Linked DNA regions of Coturnix japonica. The protein of the gene in region 2 purifies or fractionates together with the protein of the main gene of each other region. This does not show direct contact. Links are inferred from orthologs where the notes say so. Each region holds a gene or a part of one and is shown on either strand. Other genes may lie near its edges.

Region 1 (2,935 bases), on a different chromosome or scaffold from region 2:
TAATTACTCAACTGCTCCCTTTCAACCAGCAAAGTCTTTTACCTCTGCCTCTGATACCCCTCAGCCTCTGCTCTCAGCAGATGAAAGGTAAAAAGAAGCGCCTGATCTGTATATGCAAAGCACACAGGGATCAACATGCGGTGGGCAGGACAAACAGAGATACAGCACAGCTAGAACTGTTCCCACACACAGGGCAGCTGTGCTCATGCTTCAGCCTAACAGAATCCAGCTGCTCTAGAGAAAAGGCACTGTGTGAAGATCTGAAGTCTTCCACAGCTGCTTGAACAGGCTGCATGACAAGTTTAGGATCAGCAGAAGCTTTGAGGGCAGGTAAGGCCCCAAGAGAACAGAGCAAGCAGGAAGGGAGCCAAGGACCCCAGTTTGGCATCTGTCTGGTGTCTCCTGTGTCACCTTAGTCTGGGCACAGAGGGCAGAACTGACCCTCACTCCAGGTCCCCAGTGGGCACAGGGGGACAGACTCCACATCCATTCCCACCTCTGTGTAACCACACAGTAATGCTGTGGCCTACCTGTCACTACTGGGTACGCAGCCCACTGTGACCCAAGGGCACTCTTGAAGGCCAGGGGTTGTTTCTTTCCAGTATACCCAGTACCCAGGTGTGCACAGCCACCCTCACACACAGCCTTTGTGCCCAAAGGGAATGACCAGATGTGTGAACAACCACATGGTGCATGGGAAAGACACTAGAAACACTGTAGGGGGACACATCAACACATCACCTGCACCATACAGCACAGTCAGAGCAACACTACCCTGCTTCACTGTGCTTCCCCCTGTTGAGCCACTCACCGTGCCAGAAATAAAGGGAACAAAGAAACAAACCAAACAAACCAAAACACTCTGGAAAAGTTCTTTACCATAACATAACTCGTTCCCCCGAAACAAACAAACAGCCAAGAGAATACATAAGCAAATAAGGCCTAGCTGAGGACATTGGTGCTCTCGGAGCATGTGCTGCCTGAGAGCTTCTGGCTCCTGATATGAGCTTTCTGATGAGGGAACTCTCTCCTTGAAGGGATGGAGCTACTATTGCCTTCATGAACAAAGAACAGGGAGGGGGAATCCAACAGAACAGAACAAAAATCAAATCCAACCTCCCACTACAACTGCAGGGAAAAAGAAAAAAAGAAAGGTTATTTCTACACAACCCAGGGGAGCTGATCCCACCAGGACAGTTTGCTGGGTCCATCTGCCCAGAAGGATTGGAAATGCATCCCAAGCCTCCACACCACCCATCGCTTGTACCAGAACATTCCCATGCATATCCCTATGCTATATAATCCCCTGGCAGGTTTCAGCAGCAACCGCTGCCATTGCCAGGGGCAGATATCACTTTTCTGCGTGTTCCTTCTCACAATGGCACAAGAGAATGAAAACAGCTTTGCAGTTACATTTGCTTCCTTCTTTCTGTTCCATTTTATGACTTTTTTTTTTTTCTTTTTTAATATAATATTTCTTCTGGAAGGAAACTCACTCCAGAACTTCACATCCTTAAGGCTTGTGATGCCTGTTTACCAGTCAGGTTCCACTGGACAGCTTATTTGACACAACTCCTCCTCTCTTCTTTTCCTTCAGGTCCACGTGGCTGGATGGGCTCTAAGTGGAATGCAAGGGGATGACGAATTTGCAGCCGAAGGGTGAGTGGTAGTTTATTCCCACTTCCTGAAAGACCTTCTGGGGAATGCCAATGTCACAGAGGTACACACGCCCTGCCCTCTCACCCAGGGGCAGGGGTAGCCCCAAGGCCAGCGACCACTTGGCATCAATGCCCTGCTCCATTTCGCTTATGGGAGGGTCTATGCTGAGGACGGGTGCCCGGTTCTGGTTGGCCCAGTCCACAACTGCTTTGTACCAAGGCTGATCTCTCAGAAAGGCATTTTCGTGACAATCCAGGCAGTTGATCACTAGGTCAACAGGGGTATCGGGGAGATCTGAAAGAAACACAAGCACTGTGAGCAGCGAGGAGCAGCCTCAAACCTCAAGCTAAAGCTCAGTGCCCTCCTTCCTCACACTGTGCTGCCTGCAGAGTCTCTTCCATTTTTGTCTCCATTACCCTCAGTCTTTTTCCACACAGTCTGGCCTCACAGGTTATCACTGCTGTATTTCTGCAGAAGACACTGACATCAGTATTTCAAAGCTCTGTAACTCGCTTCAGCAGCCCTCAGATGGCACCACTGAGCTGGCTCTCCAGTCCAGGCAGCTTAGGAAAGCAGGGAACTTCTCCTTCCATTAAAAATGGAGATTTTTCTAATCTGCATGCTGAATAAAAAGCATTTTGTTCTGAAGTACATCTGCTGGACAGCAGTTTGTTTGCTGCAGTGCTGCCTGTTTCACTGAGCTCACTTGGCCTCCTTGTACCCACTGTCTGCTGCATTACCTCCTCACAAAGCATCCAGTTAGAAAGCATCAGTCTTCACACAGGCACATAAGGCCCTGGCACCACAACCACAGTACAACATATTGAGCAGTTTCACATTTGTTACTCCCAAAAGCTTTTAACAAACTAGGTCTTATATCGGTGCTGGTGAAACAACAGAGAGAAACAAGCTCTCTCACAACCAAGTGCTAAGTATCAGCTTATTCTAGAGCACGCTAAGATCTGAGCTCTGACAGCCAGCTCAGCAAGGCTGCATGCATGGTGCGAAACAGCAGTTTGGATGCTCATTTACTAGTAGTTTCAATATGCTGAACAAGGCAGGCCGTTATTCTAAGAGAATGGCTGGTCTGACTCAGCTTCACACAGCAGCTCTTGTGTTTGTTCAGACCGGAAACATCTGTACCAGCACAACTGCTCCACTGTTGGACCTCTCGAGCCTCTGCCATCCCAGCAGCCTCCAGGCACACTTCTGAATGCCACTAGATGGTGCCACTGGCACGTGCAGGCAGCACCAAACTGAACAGCACAGATATCTG
Region 2 (3,749 bases):
GATGTCCTCAAAAGACGGTCGGTCTGAGGGGCGCTGGGAAAGGCACCACCGGATGAGATGTTCACACTCTGGGGACGCAAAGCAGCAGTCAGCGTGAGCAGGGGGCACTCAGCACTGCACCCAAAACCCCCACCCACCACACATTGGTGGACTGCAGGGCACAGAGACACACCACCCCCTTCAGCTCCCCAGTGGATGATGTGAACCCCTCACTGCTCTCAATCCAGTGCCCACCTGGAGAGACCCTCTGCCTGAAGTACACCTGGCCACGCAGAATGTCCTCGTCGTGCTCGAAGGGGATGTCCCCACACACCATGTCATACAGCAGCACACCCAGGGACCACACAGTGGCTGAGCGCCCGTGGTACCGATGGTAGCGGATCCACTCTGGCGGGCTGTAGACTCGCGTGCCTGCAGGAGAACAGCGGCTTATGTCCCGTGGGGGCGGGTGAGGACGGCGGGGAGAGGGGGTCACCAGGCGTCACACCACCCCCAGCAGCACGTGACTCTTGTTTACAAACTTTGGGTTGTAAAATAAAGGCAGTGGGGCCGGAAGGTGGCAGCACGGGGTCGGGGAAGGCCGGGAGCCAAGCGTTACATGCAAAAAATAAAACTCCCGAGGGAGGAGTGGGGGGGGGGAAACAACCACACCTTGTGCCCACCCCTCTGCCAAAAGAGAAACGAAATCAATTTAAAAACGACTGTATAAAAATCAAACAAGGGGAACGGAGCCGTCCTTCTGGGCTGCACACCATGCTTTGCAACCTCTCCCCCCCACCACCACCACCATCCAACCCAACCCACCCCAGGAGCTGTTTGTTTTTGTCGGCTGCCCTCCCCCAGCCCCAGCCCGCAGCGTTGGTTGGGTGCTCACACCGGGAGCCGGCTCCCATTTCACAACACCCTGAGGTGCCAAACACTCTGCGGGCAGCTGAATAATGCCACATCTCCACCCCCCTCACCCCCCCATTTTGCTGCATGCAGGGGGACGCCTCGGCGCACGGCAATGTCTCACCATCAAAATCGGTGTAGACGGTGTCCTTGAGGAGGGCACCGGAGCCGAAGTCGATGAGTTTGAGCTCTCCGGTGGCGAGGTCGATGAGGATGTTCTCGTCCTTGATGTCGCGGTGCAGCACGCCGCGGTCATGGCAGTGCTGCACGGCCTCCAGCACCTGGCGGAACAGCTCCCGCGCCAGCTCCTCCGCCAGGGCCCCCCGCTCCGTGATGAAGTCGAAGAGATCCTGCACCGGTTCTGGCCTCTCCAGCACCAGCACGAAGCTGTCCGGACGTTCAAACCAATCGAGGAGGCGGATGATGCCGCGGAAATCCGTGCCCACCTTCTTCAGCAGTAGGATCTCCATCGGCACGCGCGTGCCGCTGGGCTGCGGGGACACCGGTGCTGTCAGCGCCAGGTCCTTTGGTGCGTCCCCGAAAGCCGGGGATGCTCCCTGCCCCATCCCCCGGCTGGATAAATCCAATCAGCCCCAGCCCGAGCTGCTCCAGTGCCCCCAGATCAGCGATATTCCAGTGGCTTCCCCTCTGCATCCCAGAACCAGGGATGCTCTGGACCGCCCCACTCCTACTGTGCATCAAACCAAGGATGCTCCGGATTCCCCCCATCCCACACCCCAGTACAGGGATGGTCTGGATACTTCGCAGTACCTTAAGACAAGGAACGCTCCGACACCCCCCCCAAGCTCCAAAACCAGGGACGCTTCCCAACCCATCCCCCCCAGAACCAGAGATGCTCCATCCTCTCCCCGCACCCCTAACAGGGATACTCCGGCGTTCCGTCCCCCCATCCACACCGCTCTCTCCCCCCTCCCATCCCCCGTTCCCCGGTGCTCACCAGCTCGCCCCACTCGGAGATGCGGTCCCTCGCCACGTGCTTGATGGCCACCTGCGGGGCGATGCGCGGCGCTCAGCGGGGCTGAGCCGGGCCGAACCCCGCCGCCCGCCGCCCGCGGCTCACCCCGCACTTACCGGGGCGCTGTCGGAGAGGCGGATCCCCGAATAGACGGAGCCGAACCCCCCGCTGCCCAGCAGCGGGCCCACCTGGTACAGCTTCTCCAGCGGCTCCTTCTCCTTCCCTGCGGGAGGAGCGCGGCGTCAGCGCTTCCCCGACCCGAGCCCCAGCACCGCACCGCCCCGCACCGCCCCGCGGCTCCTCACCTGCGGGCAGTTTGGCGGCGTGCAGCTCCGCGCCGGGCCCAGAACGAAGATGGGCCAACGAGTTGATTTTGGAAAGCAGCATCCCCGCCGCCGTGCTCCGGCTGCAGCCCCGCCCGAACAAACCCGACCCAGGCGGCTCGGGCAGCCCAGCCCGGCTGGAGGCGGGCGGGGGACGGCGAGCCGAGAGGAGGAGGAGGGGGAGGACGAAGGAGGAGGAGGAGGGAGAAGAGAGAAGGGGCCGGGGGAAGGGGGGGGCGGCGCGGGGCGGGCACGGCGCGACTGCTCCCCGCGCTGCCGGACTCTCGTGTGGCGCGTCAGCCCCGCGCCGGCCGCGGGAGTAGCGAGAGGCGGAGGCGGGGCCGGGGACAGCCGGGGGGCGGGGCCTCCGCTGGGCGCGCCGATCTGACGCCCCGCCCATTCGGCCGCTCCTCAGCCAATAGGGCGCGGCCCGCGCGGCGGAGCGACGGCGGCGGGCAACGACGTGGCGGGAAGGAAAAGGCGCCAAAGGAGCCGGGCGGGGGGCGGCGTCATGGGCGGGGGGAGCGCGGGTGGCGGGAACGTGGGGAGCGGCGTGCAGGGATGGGGGGAGGGGCGGCGGTGCGGAGCACTGTGAGGTCACGCTCACACCGGGGGAGGGGGCTGAGAGAACGAAGGGACCGAGAGCGTCGTGACGGGAACGGGGCTCACGAGGAGCGGCGTGTTGTGCGGGGAGCGGCCGGACGCGGCTGTGAAGGTGACGCCGCCCGTACAGCGCGGGGGGGCAGCGGCTCCACCCGGCCCTGTGCCCCCACCGGCAGCCATTCACACACCCCGTGTGATGCCCCGTGTGACGCCTCGGCCCCGTGCCGGGATGGGCGCTGACAGCGCCGGCGCTTCCCGGCCTTTATGCACAGACACCCCCCACAGCAGCCCTGGCTCTTCATTTCCCCACGTTACTGCAGCCCGGCCGTTCCTGCACCTTTCACTTCATCCGTTCCTACACAACCCCTGGCAAACCGACGCCTGAGCTATTCCCTTTTCTAATACAAGGTTCCCGCTGGAGGCTCTTTGATTAACAGCCTTTCTTTTATCCTTTTCTTTCTTCCTTCCTTTCCCCCCGCAGAAGTCACAGCCTGAAATGCTTCGCCGAGTTCCAGAGATAAGATAAATAAACGCTGGATGGAGGTCTCTGATTACTCACGCTGTTACCACGCGGAGCAAAGAGCTGCGGCCGCTGCTCCAGACGGAGCCCATCTGCACTCGTCGGTCCCGAGGAGTTCCCAGCATCCCACACATATTTGTGGGCTGAATTGTCCAAATTGAATGGGTTTTTACTGGAAGTGCTGGTGAGCACCACGGCTCTTTCAGTGTTTCTTTTCAAAGGGAAACACTCCAGGATGTCGCCCACCCCGCCATGGTGCAGGAGATGCTCGCTGCCTTTTTGGGGCTTAGGGAGGATGCTGAACATCCCTCGAGGGCTGGGAGCACCTCAACCTGCTGGCCTTTTTGTATTGATAAAGTGTGTAGAAATGGGACACGGCGGCCTTCCTCCCTTTTGTTGTTTCTTCTTCTTGTTGTCATGTGGGGGTGATGCAAGC

What was found.
Region 1: the proteins of PIM1 (region 2) and EDC3 purify together in Homo sapiens (affinity purification with mass spectrometry; 3 studies listed by BioGRID and IntAct, counting the BioPlex papers as one, with this or other methods). This does not show direct contact. The link is inferred for Coturnix japonica from reciprocal best matches to the Homo sapiens genes PIM1 and EDC3.

Annotation. Positions count from the first base shown.
Region 1 is NC_029525.1:1,789,974-1,792,908, reverse strand, and holds part of EDC3 (enhancer of mRNA-decapping protein 3), read right to left. Parts: intron 1,954-2,935; coding exon 1,619-1,953; 3' UTR 1-1,618. UniProt on the Homo sapiens protein: Binds single-stranded RNA. Involved in the process of mRNA degradation and in the positive regulation of mRNA decapping. May play a role in spermiogenesis and oogenesis.
Region 2 is NC_029541.1:611,730-615,478, forward strand, and holds the start of PIM1 (serine/threonine-protein kinase pim-1), read right to left. Parts: upstream 2,467-3,749; 5' UTR 2,255-2,466; coding exon 2,173-2,254; intron 2,091-2,172; coding exon 1,984-2,090; intron 1,901-1,983; coding exon 1,850-1,900; intron 1,383-1,849; coding exon 1,016-1,382; intron 412-1,015; coding exon 235-411; intron 69-234; coding exon 1-68. UniProt on the Homo sapiens protein: Proto-oncogene with serine/threonine kinase activity involved in cell survival and cell proliferation and thus providing a selective advantage in tumorigenesis.